4 linked regions of the Oryctolagus cuniculus genome follow. The protein of the gene in region 3 interacts with the protein of the main gene of each other region in a pairwise test. Links are inferred from orthologs where the notes say so. Each region holds a gene or a part of one and is shown on either strand. Other genes may lie near its edges.

Evidence for each region.
Region 1: the proteins of DHPS (region 3) and REL interact in binary tests that used the Homo sapiens proteins (3 or more experiments, as listed by UniProt). The two-hybrid records come from large-scale screens. The link is inferred for Oryctolagus cuniculus from reciprocal best matches to the Homo sapiens genes DHPS and REL.
Region 2: the proteins of DHPS (region 3) and NUDT18 interact in binary tests that used the Homo sapiens proteins (3 or more experiments, as listed by UniProt). The two-hybrid records come from large-scale screens. The link is inferred for Oryctolagus cuniculus from reciprocal best matches to the Homo sapiens genes DHPS and NUDT18.
Region 4: the proteins of DHPS (region 3) and EIF5A2 interact in binary tests that used the Homo sapiens proteins (3 or more experiments, as listed by UniProt). The two-hybrid records come from large-scale screens. The link is inferred for Oryctolagus cuniculus from reciprocal best matches to the Homo sapiens genes DHPS and EIF5A2.

The regions. Positions count from the first base shown.
Region 1 is NC_091433.1:141,821,388-141,825,662, forward strand, and holds the start of REL (proto-oncogene c-Rel), read right to left. Parts: upstream 2,875-4,275; 5' UTR 2,586-2,874; coding exon 2,564-2,585; intron 1-2,563. UniProt on the Homo sapiens protein: Proto-oncogene that may play a role in differentiation and lymphopoiesis.
Region 2 is NC_091439.1:1,194,036-1,198,256, forward strand, and holds NUDT18 (8-oxo-dGDP phosphatase NUDT18), read left to right. Parts: upstream 1-1,347; 5' UTR 1,348-1,453; coding exon 1,454-1,609; intron 1,610-2,251; coding exon 2,252-2,465; intron 2,466-2,752; coding exon 2,753-3,348; 3' UTR 3,349-3,691; downstream 3,692-4,221. UniProt on the Homo sapiens protein: Mediates the hydrolysis of oxidized nucleoside diphosphate derivatives. Hydrolyzes 8-oxo-7,8-dihydroguanine (8-oxo-Gua)-containing deoxyribo- and ribonucleoside diphosphates to the monophosphates. Hydrolyzes 8-oxo-dGDP and 8-oxo-GDP with the same efficiencies.
Region 3 is NC_091447.1:62,235,649-62,239,973, forward strand, and holds the start of DHPS (deoxyhypusine synthase), read right to left. Parts: upstream 3,048-4,325; 5' UTR 2,828-3,047; coding exon 2,621-2,827; intron 2,140-2,620; coding exon 1,975-2,139; intron 1,579-1,974; coding exon 1,457-1,578; intron 1,370-1,456; coding exon 1,273-1,369; intron 1,176-1,272; coding exon 1,089-1,175; intron 673-1,088; coding exon 567-672; intron 478-566; coding exon 374-477; intron 59-373; coding exon 1-58. UniProt on the Homo sapiens protein: Catalyzes the NAD-dependent oxidative cleavage of spermidine and the subsequent transfer of the butylamine moiety of spermidine to the epsilon-amino group of a critical lysine residue of the eIF-5A precursor protein to form the intermediate deoxyhypusine residue.
Region 4 is NC_091435.1:109,407,275-109,411,844, reverse strand, and holds the start of EIF5A2 (eukaryotic translation initiation factor 5A-2), read right to left. Parts: upstream 2,875-4,570; 5' UTR 2,697-2,874; intron 2,024-2,696; 5' UTR 1,989-2,023; coding exon 1,824-1,988; intron 1,263-1,823; coding exon 1,158-1,262; intron 1-1,157. UniProt on the Homo sapiens protein: Translation factor that promotes translation elongation and termination, particularly upon ribosome stalling at specific amino acid sequence contexts.

The DNA.
Region 1 (4,275 bases), on a different chromosome or scaffold from region 3:
TGCTTTAACTACCCATTCCTAACTTCCAGCTTCATTATTAAAGATCATGTTGCTTCATGCTCACATCTATTTTTTCCCATTAACACTACAAAGAATTGTTAAGTAGTGAGGTTTACATAGACAATTGCTTCATGTACTACCTATTGCATGACATAGCAGAACCATATGCTAAAGAAAAATGTGAATAAATTATATAAATGTTAAAACATTTACTAGAGATAGTATTATCAGTAAACAAAGCCATGTTTACTAGAACAATGAGAGACTTCAAAATCAGACATAAAATACTTCATTTTACTTATATTAAAAATATATGAATACTTGCTACCTAATTAGGTATACCTTAGACAGGTCTGGGAACATTTTTCTTCACTATGCCTATTCAACTTAATTGTGTCAAAAGACTGGAATCACGGTGTGCTAATTTTTAAAAAGAGAATGAAAAAGTTTAATAGAATCCAAACTGTGAAATCTAAAACAATGAATCCGATGATTTACCTGAACAAACTTTAGAACCATGTATAAAGTTCTAGCTACTGCTGGCACTTATTAATTCTGCTTATGAGATTATGATCTGTGTTCCTTTTACATTAAAGACATCACCTACTCAATCGCACATACCTATTTACATATGACATCCGGTGAGAAATGAAGAAATGGTCTCACATGCTTGGTAATCAATAAAAATATTTTTTGAGGTTTTAATACCTTACTACAAACACAATCTAAATTAGACTATGATACACAATTTTTTTTCTGTTTGTTAAACTGCTTCAAAACAGGACAGGAATATTTAGTCAATCTTTTTCTCCAAGTTCTTTCTATCTAAGTAAAATACACCCAGACTCCTTTAACATTTGTTCTGCCTAGTGGTTTCAAACTAATTTAAATAACTTGTTATGTTTTAAAAGAGTTCCACTTTAATGTACCTCCAGAAAGACCAAAAAACAAACACCAAAAGGTATGACCTACAACTTGCAAACTTTTAAAGCTTTCCATTTAATTTTTCCCTTCAATTTAAAGAATCCTTAGTCCTCACAACAGCACACAATACAAAATTATTAAAAAGTTAGAAGGTATCACATTTTAAAATCATGCAAATCTTAACAATACTCTAAAGAATGTTTTTTTTTCTGTCTTTTGGAAAAACTCATAAATATTACATTCATGCAATAGCTTAATGAAGTGTGCTCAAATAGCCAGCCCCCCCTTTTTTTTTCACTTAAAACGCTCAGAATTCTTTACTACTTTCAAATAAAATCTTTCTGATAACCAATAAACTAAACAAACAGCTGTAGTTATCTGTATACTTTTAAACTAAGTGTGCTTTGAATGTATGAATTTATAAGATTACCTGAAAGTGTGGGGTCACCTAAGTGGGTAAAGGGAAAGTTGAAATATTTTAAACTCCACTTGAATTCTCACATGAAAACCACAAACTGAAATCAAATGTCATGTGAAACACCCCAATTTCCTTTTCAGCCTACAGCCATCGCAATGGCACTGCAGGGCTAGGCCCTTTAAAGAGGCTCCTTACGCTTGCTACTTCCTCTTCTCGACTCGAGGCCGGCCGGCTACCGAGGGTCACTCACCTGGGCCGGCTGGGGGACCGCGGGCCGAGCGCCAACAAGCCCTCCCTTTCGGCCTCCGGGCCTCTGCTCACGCTGCTCCCGGTACCTGCAAACGGCCCCTGGGCAGCCGCGGCCACCGGACTCAGCCGCCCTGGGTTCCCGGCAGCCCTGCTCCGCGGCTGCAGACGAGCCTGCCCCCAGCAGCCCTGCAAAGCCGCTTCTCGTAATAAACGCGTCTCACCGCCCCAAAGCGAGAGACCCAGGCATTTACGGACGGCCAACAAGCACATTAAACAAGCTGGTTGTTTTCACGAACACCCATTATGTTAAAGCACAGATATTAAAAAAAAAAAAAATCCTCGTTCCCTCTCTCATTTCCAACAAGGCGGTGGCGGGGAACTCAATGTCTCGGCTCGGTAACCTCGCAAAGTACGTGCGCCCGATTTCCCGGGGAAAATGCCCGACTTGGAGGACCAAACTTTCCGCTGGCGCCCGGCGAACCCGCCAGCGGCCACCTGTACAGCCGCGCCGCGCTCGGCCGACGGTCAGCGCGAGAGCGACCGCCGCTCGGCGCCCGACGGGACGAGGGCGCACGGCAGGCAGGAGCTCGCCCGAGGTCCCACGCTTCCTCATTCTCGTCCTAGACCCCAAGCCCACCATTTCGATACCAAGCAAGGCTCAAGGACGCGCACTCTTGGGCCCCCTCCGATCCGGACGGAGGCTTTCCTCACCCTGGCATCCCGGCGTGGGGAATTTCTCAGGTTTCCGGTTATGAAACTGGAATCCAATTACAGAGTCTGGCTTTGATTGCGCACGCAAACCCTGAGGCAGGTAACTTTTTCAAAGCCTGACAATTTGCCAGACGAGGCGATCTTTTAAGACGGAATCTGCCCCGATCCCCCCGACCCTCAGGGCAGCACGACCCCTACCCCCATCCCCCAAAAGAGCCCCCTTCGCTCCGGCCCTCGGCACCCAGCGCCGGGAACACTCACCTGAGGCCATGGCTCCGCTCATCGCGCCGCCCGCACACAGGCAGCTCCCAGCGTCCCGGCCCGAGGCGGCCGCAGACAGTCGGCCCGCCAGTCAGTCAGTCAGTCAGGAGGCCGCGGGACCTCTGCCGGCTGGACCCCAGTCCCCCGGACCACCCCCCGAGGCCTCCTCCTCCTTCCCGCCCTCCTCTGGGTTTGCGGCTCACACCTTCCCACCCCCTGAGTTCTCGCGCTGCGGGTCACCAGCGTCGCCCTTCCCGGGTGCCGGAGCCAGGGCCAAGGGGGCGGAGCGGGACGAGAGCCCAGCGCCGGCCGGGCCAGGAGGCGGGCAGCCAGGCGGGAGGGGGATTTCCCGCGGCTGACGTAGGCCCCCACGCCGCCGCCTTCCCCTGGGGGCGTGGGGCGGGGCGTTCTCGCGGCCGCGCGCGTGGCCGCCCTCGGCGGTCTCCGCCCCGCCCCGCGCGCGTTCCCGCCCCCGCCGCTGCGCTGAGGGCCTGGCAGCTGGGCGGCCGGCACGGGAACCCGGGATACTCGGGAGCGCCAGGGATCGCCCGGAGCCCGGAGCGTGAGAAGGCGGGCAGCTCCTGAGAAAGCCCCCTCCTCCAGGTTGTTCTTCCGAGCGAGTCTTAAAGTTCAGGAGCGGGTGGGAGGGCGCGCTGACGTGAAGAGGGCCGGCCGCCCGGGAGCGCGTGGGGGCGGGCCGCGCGGCGGAGTGGGCCCGGCCTCCCGGGGTTTTCGATGGGTGGTTCCCCCTCTTCCCGATTTCGCACATGCAAATCTCCGCCCCCGCGCCGGCGCGCGTCGTGGCCGCTCCGGAGGTGCGGAAGCGGCCGTCGCCTGCGTGCGCTTCGGATTCGTGTATTTGCATACGGGGACCCCCGCAATCTGATTTTTTACCTCTTTCTATCTAAATTTCTAGGGCTCGGTTAATTTCATGTCTTTGTGCCTGCCAGAACCTTTAACACCGAGAGGTCCGCGCGGCGAGTTCGTGGCCTCCCGGTGACGGACTGGGCTCGGGTTGAGGGAGGTGGCCACTCTGGCTTGGGCGTTGACAGCCACGGGGGGGAGTGGAACGAACAGTTCGTGCCTTCGAGAACCCGGTGTGATTTTGTTCCCATCATTTGCCAAGCACCTGCTGTGTGTCAGATGGCTTGTTCACCACATGTGTAGTGTATTATTATTACCCTTAGTTTCATGGGGTAAAGGGGTTCAGGGAAGGGGAAGCACAGGAACTTCTCTGTGCTTAAGAATCCTGCAAAAGGAAAGCAGGCTTAAACCCGAAGTTGTGCTACTCCGAAGCTCCACCCCCTTTTCCCTGCTGAAAAGATGCAGGGAAAGTGCCAGAAACTCGAGGACCCCGCTGTGGGTATAGTTAAAATCCTCCAACCCCAAAACATCCTCTCCACAAAATGTGCAAAGTACAGAAAGAATGAAACGGTTGTTTTCTTGGATAAGCATTAAAGCATACCCTGATATGCCTGTCACCGGCAGTGCACTGAAGATGGCAGAGCCGGAAAACTTCTCCCTTTTCATCTAACCAGACCTGTAGAATCCATTACCTACCTGTTAGTTGTCTTTCCTCAAAGGAGAAATCCTAGGAAGCCAAGGCTTAAACTCCCAAAGATAGGTAGATGGCGACCCATCCTCTTCGATTTTCACATTTCCGAAAGAGGCTGGCAAACTCAGGTGGGAGATGAGAATGAAGCTGCTGGCCC
Region 2 (4,221 bases), on a different chromosome or scaffold from region 3:
CGGTTGGACCGTCTGGTGTTTATCTCAAGATGCCTCTGACGCTCTCAGAGCCATGCCCAGACATGATCTCACTCTCTCGTTCAGTCATCCCTGGAGGCAGAAGGGAGTCTGGCAGCAGTACTGCCCCCACTTCACAGGTGGGAAAACTGAGGATCACACACGCACGGAGCCAATCTGTTGTCCTGGGGTACTGCACCCAGCCCCAGGGAGCTGGTTGAGAGGTGTTGGACAGGGCAAGTGCCTCAAAAGCTTAGGGGGTGCCCGTGTGGCCCTGCACAGGGCTCTGTCTGCAGCAAGCGTGCAGCCAGTCCCCCACCGCGAGAAGGGTCTACGGCTCCCCAGTGGAACCTGTTCTCAGGCACAAGCCAGGAGGGTGGGCCTTTGCGGCGTAGCCCAGCCTGCAGGCTCCGGGGCTGCCCGGGGCCCACACGGCTCCTCTCGAATAGCCTGCCTTGCCATCCACCCTGGCCAAGAAAAGCTGCCAGGAACCTAATCGGAAGCCCACCACATCCCCAAGGAGCGCAGAGCCGGCCGGTCAGCAGGGCGGGTGGGTGGCTTTGCTCTCATCAGCCAGCTACTGTCCCCAACCCCCGAAGGCGGAGGGAGGAGGGGCCGGTGGGGGAGGCCTGTGTGGGTGAGGAGCCCAGACTTGGCTGGCTCTTCGGATTCCTCCCAGCTGGCGGCGAGGAGGAAAGGTCAGGCTGAGCCGAGCGAGCGGGAGCTGGCCACGCTGCAGCGCCCTGCGCAGGACACGCCGTGGACAGGAGGACGCTAAGGGCAGCCCCCAGTGCCCAGCCCTGTCCCCTCCCCGCGTCCGGCCCGCCCCGATCGTGATCACTTAGCATTTAGGCTGTCACCCTCAACCGACTTTTTATTATGGATCAGAACCTCGCGTTCCCGAACCCCAGCCCTCGGCGGGACATCCAGTACGTGTCAGCGAAGTCAGAAGAAAGTTACTTAGGTCGTCATCATCTCAGACAATGCCCTGGCGGGTTAAGACAAAAGGCGGGGGCCGCGGGTCCCGGGGCGGACACCCTGGCCGCCGTGACGTCATCGGGCCTGTGACGTCACCGCCGCGGCGCCCCGCACCCTGCGGGCCAGATGGCGTCACCATCGGAACCTGCGTAAACAAGTATGCGCTCGGGGAGCCGCGGCGAGAGAGAGACAGAAAGAGACAGAGAGAGAGAGACAGCGCGCTGACCCTGGGGCAGGAGCCGGGCCGGAGGTCCGCTCGGCCCCACAGGGCGTTAGGCCCCCTGACGGGCTGGCCCCGCCCCGGGCGGCCGGCGCGGGCCAATCCGGGCGGGCCGCGGCGCCACGCAGCCTATCAGCGGCCAGGGCTCGCCGGGCGCTTCCGCGTTGGGCAGCTCGCCGGCGCGGGCCGGGCCGCACGCTCGGCCGCAGCCCCGCCTGGCCGCTGCGCGGGGCCCGGGCCACCGCCCGCCGGGGCCCGATGGCCTCGGAGGACCTGGCGGGGGCGCTGGCGGCCGTGCTGGAGGGCCGGGGGCTGCGCGTGCACAGCTGTGACTCGGGGCCGGCCGGGCAGCCGCGAGCGCGGCTGCGGACCAACGTCTCCTACGTGGTGCTGGCCGTGTTCCTCAACGAGCAGGTGAGCGAGCCCGCCGGGCCCTGCTGGGCACGAAGACACAACGGCCAGGGCCGGCGCCGCCTCGCGCGTGGCGTTCCCCAGTTCTGCAAAGCACTCACTCACGCGCGCCTCGCAGCCCTGTGGGTGGCCGGGTGCACAGAGGGCTGCGCCCTGGCCCTCGGTTCCTGCAGCACAGAGCTCCCCTCCCCCAGGGCCTAGCACGGTGTGAGCTGGCTCCCCGGGACGTCTGAGGCGTGGCCTGCGCCCCCCCACCCCCACCCCCGCCTGGTTATGGCACAAGGCAGGCTCACGCTCAGATCTGACCCCTTGTCGCTGCTCTGGGTCCCTGTTGTAGGCTGTGAGATAAGAATCAGAAGGGGCCAGAGCCCCAGGTGGGCCTGCATGGGGGTGTTGGGGGGGGATCAGAACCCAGACCCCAGAGTGAGGACCTGCCACTAGGCTGTGCACCCCATGGGGACGCGGGAGACACACAGTGACACAGTGGAGACACACGCGCAGCCCGATCTTGACCCACAGAGAGCAGCTGGCTGCAGGCCCCCCGCCCCCAGGGAGGGGGTCTTGGGCAACCCCAGGGCAGGGAAGGGCCTGGCTGGCTGGCCTCTCCCGTGCGTGGTGGAGAGTGCCAATCCCCTCTCCCCTCAGGACGAGGTGCTCCTGATCCAGGAGGCCAAGAGAGAGTGCCGGGGGTCGTGGTACCTGCCGGCGGGGAGGATGGAGCCCGGGGAGACCATCGTGGAGGCCCTGCAGCGGGAGGTGAAGGAGGAGGCGGGGCTGCAGTGTGAGCCCGAGACCCTGCTTGCCGTGGAGGAGCGAGGCCCCTCCTGGATCCGTTTTGTGTTCCTGGCTCGTCCCACAGGTATGGCTCTCCTGGGGCAGTGCCGTAGCCGCCTTCCTCCGACTCCTCCACCCCCACCCTGTGGTCTTCCGGTGAGATGAGCCCACTCCCTAGCCAGCCCTGTGCTGACTGCTACAGCTCTGGCACTGGCAGACCCTAGCCTGGGGAGGTGGGAGTGGGGGAGGCTCAGCCCCGGCCCCGGCCCCGCTCGGGGTTAGAACCAGGGTGGCCTGCCGGGTCTGTGTCCTCTGTGAGATCCGGTGCTTCTTCCCACCCACACCACTGCTCCTGCCCCCACTCTCCCCTAGGTGGGACGCTGAAAACCTCACAGGAGGCTGATGCGGAGTCCCTGCAGGCTGGCTGGTACCCACGCAGCTCCCTGGCCACTCCTCTTCGAGCCCAGGACATCCTGCACCTGATAGAGCTGGCCGCCCGGTACCGCCAGCAGGCCAGGCACCCTCCCGTTCTGCCCCAGGAGCTGCCCTGCAGTGTGGTGTGCCAGCGGCTCGTGGCCACCTTCACCGGTGCCCAGACGGTATGGGTGCTGGTGGGCACGGTGGGGGCGCCTCACTTGCCCGTCACGGCCTGTGACTTCGCCCCTATGGAGCAGAGGGGCGGCCTGAAGGTGGCCGTGCTGCGGCTGCTCCAGGAGTGCCTGACCCTGCACAGTTTGGCCGTGGAGACCAAGGGGCTGCTGGGGTTGCAGCACCTGGGCAAGGACCATGCCGACGGCATCTGCCTGAACGTGCTGCTGGCGGTGGCTTTTCGCAACCCGGGCATCCAGGAGGAGCCCCCGAAGATTCGGGGTGAGAACTACGCGTGGTGGAAGGTGGGGGATGCAGGCCTGCAGGGCCAGCTCCTCCAGAGGTTGCTGGACTGTTCTGCTGTCCCACTGAACAGATAGGTGCCCTCCCCGAGGGACGCGGAAGCCAGCAATCTGGGCTCGTGCTGCATCGGCAGCAGAGGCTGCTCTGGGTCTCGGGGCCTGCGGGGAGCAGGCTACCACAGTGCATCAGAAGGGACAGTGCCTTCACCAAGCAAAGGGTCCAGAGGTCCAGGGCCCTGCCGCCAAGGGCACACGATGCGTCTCCCCCCCGGGTTGGGGAGGGGGACGCGGGAGCATCCTGGAGTCTCGTTGTTCTGTGTGCACCCCCATGAAGGCCCCGCCCTGGCCTCTGCGGGCACTTGGGGCTCCCAGGGGACCAGGAGGGCATCCCTTGCTGAGTAAACAGGTGTTGCCACCTGCCTTTCCTGCCCAAATGTCTGTGTGGGGAGGACACGAGGGGGCTGCTGCTGTGTGGCCCCCGGCTCAGCAGTGGCCGCCGCCCAGGCCTTTCCCTGACAGTGTGCTGGCACTGGCACCGGGCAGGACGTCACCGAGGGGACCACAGCCCCAAGGGAGGCTCAGCTATAACCCTGCGGGGTGGAGCAGCGGGCATCTGCAGAGAGCTGCCGGTGGGACGGGAGCTGTGAGTGGTGTCCCCGTCTCTGCCCAGCTCCATTCTCCTGGCCCGCCCTGGGCCGGATCCTCCACCGCCTGGCCTTTTCACAAGTCCAGTCCAAGCTGGAAACCCTTTTCTCCACTGCCCCCAGCCCAGGCCACCCATGGTGGGATTTCTTTCAGCTTTGCGAAAAACACAAGGGGAAAAACCACAGGGGACAAAATGTGCCACTGGCTGTGTTCAGGCCTGTGTCCAGCCACGCTGGGGAGGCCGGGCTGGATGGAGACCCCCCCAAGCCCCCAAACACAAAGTCTGTTAGATCATCACCGCTCCGA
Region 3 (4,325 bases):
CGGAGCCGTCGAACTCCTGGGCCGTGTTGATGTAGACGGCGTAGTCGGCCCCGTTCCGCTGTGGACAGGGCCGGGACAGCCCCGTCAGCCCCAGCTTCCGGGATCCCCGCCACCCCTCGTCGGGTCCTGGCTCCCGCGCCACCGCAAGAGGGCAGCAGTGAGCGCCCGAGTCGGGTCCTATCCAGCTTAGAGCCACAGCTAGAGACCCACGCAGGGCACTTGGCCCGCTTCCCAGGGGCCTCCCTCGCCCGGACACGTGCATCGCTCGCTGGCCCGCAGCCCCGGGAGAGCGGGGGTCCTGGCCTGTTCCTCTCCGCACCCGTCGCCCTGGGGGCGCTGCGCCCAGTGGGCTCCCACGCCCTCCCGCGCTCACCATCAGGTTGGCGTTGGCGATGTGGTGCTTGACCATGCCGCCGCCCAAGATGATCATCCCCGTGCGCTTGGCGAAAATGGCCTGCGTGTTGATGAGCCGCAAGTCTGCGGGCAGAGAGCGCGCTCAGGCCCCGGCCTCAGCCCTCCAGCACCCACCTTCCCTCTGCCACTCCCAGGGCCCCAGCGCGCCTCACCCTCCACGATGTCCAGGACCAGGCCCGGGTTCTTGTAGGAATGGAAGAAGATCATGTCTCCCAGGGAGCCGTCGGTCAGCGCCGGGCTCAGCACGGGGATGTGGTTCTGCAGGCGGGCAGACAGTGAAGGGCCAGGCTGAGGCTGGGGAGCAGCCTGCCTGGGCCCCTCTGCTTGCCGCAGGAGGGCGCCTACGTGACAAACGCACACCCAGCACTTGGCCCCGGCCTGGCACTCTGGGGCGGGGCAGGAGGCCCCTGCATCCTGAGCTCAAGTCCTGGCTCCTGCGCATGTGCGCTGAGCGGCAGCAGGGATGGCTCAGGTGCCTGGGCCCCCGCCACCCACACTGGGAGACCCGAGTAGAGCTCCAGGCGCCTGGCTTCTGCCTTTGGCCCAGCTCTGGCTGTTGCAGCCATTTGTGGGAGTGCACCAGTGGATGGAAGCTCACACCGGTATCTCTTGTTACTTGTCAGACTGCTGGAATTCAGAGCGGCGAGGCCACGCTGTGTGTTAGCGGCCCTCACCTTCTGTGCCCAGTAATACACAGACTCCGGGCTGTTGATCTCCTTGCCGAGCCGGGCAATCATCTTGGAAGGCGTCCACTTCACACCCTGGGAGGGGGGATGTCAGCAGTCAGCCCACGCTCCTCTAACCCCCAGCACCACACTGGACCCCATTCCCCACCCCCCAAGACTCTTCAGCCCCCACCTCTGTGTTCTGCTCCAGCACCATCTGGTCCAGGATGGGCATCAGCCAGTCCTCAAACTTGCAGTAATTGTCATTGGGCACCAGCAGGTTCCCGATCCTGGGGACAGAAGGCACGCGGCCATCAGCCCCCACCCCAGCCTCAGCACCCCCCCCAGCGGTGCACAGGGATGCCCCCTCCCCTAACCTGTTGATCCCATTCTCCCGGAGCTCCTTCCCTCTGAGGCTGAACTCGCCCAGGTACGTGGGCGCCAGGCACTTGATGAGGTCTTCCTCCACACCTCCAGCCGTGGTCACCAGGACGTCCACCTGCAGCTCGAAGGCAGTGCAGTTGGGCCCCCGCCCCACTCCCAGGGAACGGTCCCCAACTCAGCCTCAACCCTGATCCCCAGGAAAGAGCTTGGCCACTTTGGGGGACAGGCACCACTTCCGGATGCCTGTATCCCCCCCCCTCAGAGTGCAGCCCTGGCTGCTCTACTTCTTGTTTTAGGGCATCCTGGGCAGGGGGCAGCAGGTGCTGGCTCAAATACTTGGCTCCCTGCCACCCACATGGGAGACCCGGATGGAGCTCCTGGCTCCAGCATGGCCCAGCCCAAGCTGCTGCAGCCATTTGGGGAGTGAGCCAACAGATGGAAGATCTGTCACTCTGCCTTGCAAATAACTACGTAAATCTTTAAGAATGACTGCCCAAGGCCGCAGTCCCACCATGCTGTGCTGCACGAGGTAGCGGATGGTCTCCCGGATGCCTGAGCTGATGAGGTTGGACGTGTAGCCCAGGAAAATGGTGCAGCCGGTCAGCGGGCGGCGGCTCTTGGTCAGGTCCTTGTGCTGATCTTCATCCTGCGACAGCGGCTCCAGTTTCTTCTCAATCTTGGGGCAGGGGCCGGGGTCAGGTTAAGTTTCCGGCGGCAAACGCCAGGGACCCCCCAAGGTGAGTTCCGGAAATGAGAATGCACTTTCTAGAAGGGGCCACTTCTACTGGGGACTAAAAATCCCGCCCTACAGGCTCTCCGCTTCCGATCCAGCTCCCTGCAAATGCGCCTAGGAAAGCAGCAGGTGACGGCCCGAGTGCCGGGGACCCTGCACCCGCGTGGGAGGCCCCGACGGAGTTCCCCGTTTCTGTCTCTCAAAAATTCGCCTAGAATCCATCTCCTACCAAAAATCAGGCCCCGCCCCCTACAGACGCTACGGGCAAAGGCCGCTTCGCAGTCGGTTCCCGCCCAGGGTGGGCCCCGCCCCTTCGGGCGACACACCCCCTCCGTCCTCCTGGCAGCCACGCCCTGGAGGAACCCTATTGGCTCTCCTAGAGGCCACGCCCCTTCCGGCCAGGAAGTCCCGCCCCGGGCCTCACCATGGCGTTGACTTGCTGCACCGCGCGCCCGAAGTTGGTTGCCTGGAAGCCGGTGGTGCCGAAGGCCTCCAGCAGCGCGCGGTAATCTACGCCGCGGTTGAAGTCGTAGCCCCGGACCTGAGCGCTCTCGGGCGGCAGCGCCGAGCTGTGCTTCAGCACAGCGGCCAGCGCCGCGGCGGGCGCTTCCCCCTCCGGGGAGCCCTCCATGCCCCCCGCGGCAGGGTTCTCACGGCTGAGCCCCCACCCGGGCCGGGCCCACGGCGGCCTCGAAGCGCGCTAGGCCCCAGCACGCGCGTCTCCGCAAGTGCGCAGGAAGTAGGGCTCGGGGAAGATCCGAGAGGGGATCAACGGAAGTTGCTGAGTCACATGATACTCTGGCTCCTGCGGCCTAGGGCGCCGCCATCTTGGCACGCGTGTTCCGTACTACGGAAGCCGTGAGGAGCCGTAAGGCCTTTAGGCGTGCCTGGACATTCCTGCTTTGGCGCCACCTGCTGGACACTCGTGGCGTGGCGCGGCGCTTACCTATGTTTCTGTGCTCTGAGCTTCTGAGCTGTCAGACAGGATTGGGGTCGACAAGACAGTTTCAGCCTCGAGTTTCTCCCGTCAGTGGGGATAATGCTCCCCATTCGTTCCCTCCCAAGTGTCCAGAGCCTCCACGCGCTGCAGGTGCCCCGTTTCTTTCCCGCTGTGGATGCAGCCGTCACCTCCGGGAAGCCTTCTCTGACTTCCTCTGGCTCAGGAGCCTCCTCTGGGATTCAGGGCGGACAGCAGCGCCCCCTACACACCCCGCAGAGCGACTGGGAGGCCAGCACCTCATACACCCTCCTAACCCACCTTGTGCAGGGCACGGAGGGGACCCCTTTGTCCACCCACTCTGCGGTTTATGAGGGCTTGGCTGTGTACGCTGGGGATTTACTGATTAACGAGACCCAGTGAGGCAGAAAACAGGACAACAGGGGTCGGCTCTGTGGGCATAGTGGGCTAAGCCTCTGCCCGCAGCGCCAGCATCCCATAGGGACACAGGTTCCAGTCCTGGCTGCTCCTCTTCCAATCCAGCTCCCTGCTTCTGGCCTGGGAAAGCAGTGGAGGATGGCTCAAGTGCTCAGGCCCCTGCACCTATGTGGGAGACCCGGATGGAGCTCCTGGCTCCTGGCTTTGGCCTGATCCAGCCCTGGCTCTTGCAGCCATCTGGGGAGTGAACTAATGGATGGAAGCTATCTCTCTCTCCTCTCTATGTAACTCTTTCAAACAAACAAACAAATACATCTTTAAAAAATCAATAATAGACTTAGAAGGAGGCCATTAGGGAGGGTCCATGCGGAGTCCCTGTGAGGAAATTTGCATACACAGAGACACGGAGGGGGTGGGGTACAGCCAGAAGAGAGAGGTCCAGAAGAGAGGCCTCCAGCCCCGCCAGCTCCTAGGTCTTCAATTTCTACTCCCCAGGCTTCCAAGAGACAGCGCTGTTGCATGAGCCCCCCCCCCCCCCCAGCCTGGGGTATTTGGCGATGCCAGGCAGCAGCCTGTGAGGCTGGGCTTGTTTATCTATTTACTTTTGAAAGCTGATAGAGAAAACCTCCATCAGCAGGTTCACTCCCCCAGTGGCCATTAGCAGCCAGGGCCAGGCTGGGCCGAGCGCGAGCCAGGAGCTTCTTCCAGGTCTCCCCCGTGGGTGGCAGGGGCCCAAGCACTTGGGCCGTCTTCC
Region 4 (4,570 bases), on a different chromosome or scaffold from region 3:
CAGAACTGCCTTTTTTTTTAAAGTTTTTTTTTATTTATTTAGTTTTTTAAAATTTTATTTAAGATATACAAACTTCATGCATTTCGTAAATACAAATTCAGGAACACAGTGATTCTTCCCAGCCCAGAACTGCTTTTTGGTACATTTCCCCCCTCATTTCATCCTCACATTATCCCTGTTTGGCAGACTAAGGCTCAGAGAGGTTACATAACTTATCCAAGAGTATCGAGCTAGAAAGTGGCAAAACTACATGAAAATATGGTTGCAGGTGGACAAAGAATAAAAGGAAATCACTGGCTCACTGCAGTTGACAGCAATGTTCTTTAAAAATCTACACAAAAGGCACAGAAAAAATCAGTTTAAGTTGAACAGAACAAATCTGTCAAACTTACATTCTTTTATGTAAAATGAACAGAAGAGAGTTCAATATATGGTATGCTTGATAAGGAAACTGAAGACTTTCAAGAAATGTTTTAGTTATGATTAATCTGAGCTTCCACCGACTATGAGGTCAGTTGTTTATCATCAATACTCCAAACAAAATGCTAGCATTAAATATGATGTACCCAAATGTGTAAGTAAAGCTAAAACTTGAAGTTTATACATATAATTTAGCAAAAGGTCCCAGCTGGGTCACTGAATATAAATAAACCAATTACATAATTTTTGTATTTTCTTTACTTTTTATTTATGGCTCTTGACTAATTCACTTCTTAAGAATACCAAATCTGACTAACATTCATTAATAGAAAAACTTAGTTGGAAGAACAGTTCCTTGAAAGTCTTTGATCAGAGGAAAGAAATAAAAGTACTCAGGAAGGAGTTATCTAAATTTGAGATATTTTACAACAGAGAGAACAGTAATTTCATGAAATACATACTTACTTGCAATATGCAGTCACTTGGTTTGAGAAACACTCAAAGTGTTCAACCTCTTAAAAATGCAAGAATGTTTAAAAACAATTAGCAATAATCCTAGATAAGGAACACCAGGTAAACATCACTATTTCTCCAATTTCTCAGATAGGTGGTGCCTAATAATTGGTTAGGAAAAAAACCTTCCAAATCACTCTTTGCTTTTGTCAATTTACAATTGACAGAAAGCATCTGTACTTTTAAGAAACAAGAATCATTCTGCAAGGGAAATTAGTACTTACTTGATAGTCATTTCTCTTAATATTTGGAACATCCATGTTGTGAGTAGAAGGGCAAATATCTTCATATTTTTTGCCCGTGAAAATATCAATTCCAACAAGGTGAACCTAACAGAGGGCAACAGAAGACCTGTTCATTCTCTGCCAAGTGTATCACTCATTGCATACACAGGAGTACAATACCAATACTTATTATGACAGATTCTTTCTCCTCCTGCCAGGGTCATCTACTTTTACTTTCTTACAAAAAACAAAAAGCCATGGTGTTAACAGAATTGAGACACATCAAAAAACTAAATGGTATCATGACACGTCAAGACCCAGTATAACAGAAACTCTAGTAATCTAGATTGTGAAAGTATATGACAAAGATGAAGTTAGGTTTCTAAGAATTGTTAAAAGAGGTTTTCACAAAGGTAAACTGAATAGATCTTAGTCTAGGCCAGTAGGATTCGGGGAGACTCAGTTCCCAATGAAACATGACAAGCCCCCCAGAAGGACGTGTACCTGTAAGTATTCAAGGTAACAGCTGACCACCTAATAACTACGGAAACAAAAAAAATTGCTTATTACAAAACGTGAAGTATAGAAATGTCAAGATCTGTAATGGAATACGAGTGATGAAAATCCCAACGCGGAGGCCACAGCCCGACTCGGAAGGGCGCTTACCTTGGCATGGCCGTGCTTTCCGGTTTTGGAAGTTGACATCTCCACTATTTTGCATGGTCGTCCTTTCAGCACCACAAAGCCGTTTTTGCGTAGGGCCGAGCACTGCATAGGGTAAGTGCTGGATGCCCCGGCGTCTCCAGTGGTGAAATCGATTTCGTCTGCCATGGTGGGCTGGGGAGAGGACTGTTCTTCCGAGGGAACTACGCAAAAAGTTTGTGTTTGCTTTTTAATAACCAGCATGCCGGCAGGGAAACGTCTTATTTGCGACAGACAGGTTATCTGGTAAGATTCACTGTCATTTTTGCATTTGCACGACACCCACCCAAGACTAGTGGGCACTTTTCTAAACTCTGGCCTCTACAAACTTTTCCAGCCATCGGGAGGTGGTTGCGGGTGGGAAAGGAAAACCCCGAGGAGCTCACCTCCCGCCTCGGGCGTTCACCCGCGCTGGGGGCAGGCAGCAGGTCCCCGCCCTGCTGCCCCACCGCAGAAACCCGCGACCTTCCCGCACCGCGCCGCGCCGCGCCTGCACGCCCGCTGCTCGGCGCCCAGCCCAAGGCCGCACGGCCCCGGGAACGATGCAAGTTGACACGACGTGGTCAGCAGCACCTGGCCCCTGGGCAGCCGGCGCGCACCCCGCCCGCCGCCCCGCACGCCGCCGCCCCAGTCGCCCAGGCATCCCCTGTTCTGCAGGGAAAGCCCAGCCCGGCCCGGCCCGGCTCCTCAAGGGCCTGAGCCCCGGCAGGTCTCGCGCTCGCCTCCATTCCCCCATCCATCTTTCCTCCACCTCTCGGCCATGGCTCGTTCCGGCTCCCTTCCCTGCCCTCCCTCGCTCTGGGACCAGCACGAGTCAGCTTTTCCCCAGGTCTTCACCTTTCAGCTTTGAGCAGGCAACCCGGACTTTCGCCTGCGCATCCGCGCCCGGTACCTCAGCGCTGCAGCTGCTGCGGCGGCGGCGGTGGCGGCCGCAGCAGTTCCAAGACACGGGGCGGGGCCGCCACACTTTCCACACCCCGGTCTCCCCGCCTTTTCCCGCCCCCAACCCAGCCCCACTTCCGGGATAGGCCCCGAGGCGTCACAGGCACCGCCTTCCAGGGCTACTATTGGCTACTGGGTTCCCAAGGCTCCGCCCAGTCACGTGAAGCGCGCCCTGGCAACCCCACGTGCTGCGGATTAGTGCACTTCCGGCGTGCGGAGCGCTTCCAACAGTTCAGTTGCCGAGGTTAAACTCGCAGACCGGAAAGCTTGTTCTCTCTAACTTCTAGGTTCGTGGCGGTCGGCTCTCAGTCGGCGTTGACGGCAGCCAAGCCGCGCGCCCTGTAGTCCCTGTCCTCTGTTCACCAAGGGTTCCGCGAGGTTATGGAGAGGACTTTGGGTTCCGGCTTCTGGTACAACTTGCAGCTCTCCTTGGAGTTCACACCTAGCTTATTCCTGGAGGCAGAGCCTAAGTGCGGTATTTAAGTCCGTGGCTCCCCGCTGCAGATTCTGCTGGAGGCTCCAGCCACCCCGTGATGCGGTTCTGCCCCTGGCCGGGCTCCTAGGAGTGGGCGGAGAACAGAGCTGCCCTGCCCCACACACCAGAGGCCGGAAGAATGTGGGGGCCAGGAGAGCCCACTCCCGCCGGATTATGCGGTCCAGAAAGTGCGACAACGCAGCCCTTCTTCCCTTCTGGCTTAGGTATTTCTGAGTTTGGAATCTCTCCAAACCACATTGGAGCGGTTGAGTTGTCTTCAGAATCCACCGAGCGCCCATAGACTTGGATAGAAGTAAAGACAAGCTTCCTAAGGCTATGCGCTGTGCTTTTCACAGTTCCATTTCACAAACTGCTCACATTCTGCTACCCTGGAGGTGACCTAGGAAGTTACTTCCCACTCCAATTTATGTATTCCCATGAATAGTCCCATGAACAGTTGCTATATGACTACATTTTACATGTATGTATTTCACATGTGTTGTCTAATTTAACTTTTATTATAAGCAAGTGATTTCCCATAAACGGAACCCAGCCTCTAACTGTATATGAATGAGCCAGATTGGAACTCTGGGTTCTTGAGTCCCAATTTGTTTTACCTGACACCACCTAAGCTTTCCCTAAAGTTACTAGAATGATCGGTAGTACGGCAGGTTACTTAGGCAGCTAGTCCAAAATTTGTTAAATCTTAACTGCTTCTCTTTTAAACCCCAGGTTTGTATAATTTAAAATAAAATGGATGCTTTTTAGTTCTTAGTTTTGAAAAAGATTGGCAGATAGCCACCTCTTTAATCCAGACAGTGACTATTTCCCTCATTCCAAAAGTTTCCTCCTGCCATTTGTATTTAGCCCCCTCCCCCAACACCTAGTCCCTGGCGTCCATTAATGGCTGTTTTATTTGCATTTTTAGTTATGAAAACAGGCTAGAGAAAAGTAATTTGTCCTAAATCACACAGCTAGCAAGTCAGAGAGCCAAGACTGAAATCTAGGCAGTTTGGCCCCAGAATCACTGATCTAACTACCATCACATAAGATTTGGCTCTTGAATCAAATTATTGGGAATTATTGGGATTTATTCATTCAACAAATGTAGTCCATTCTCCTGAAGTTGTTGGAACAATGAATTAGCAAATTCTGAACCATTGCTCACAGGAGAATACAAGGTTAGGGTCCTGTGATCCTCTGGTCACAGCATTTTCATAAACTGCTCAATATGTGATCTTATTTTATATGTGTCTTTGTTTAAAGATTTATGTATTTGAAAGGGGGAGTTACA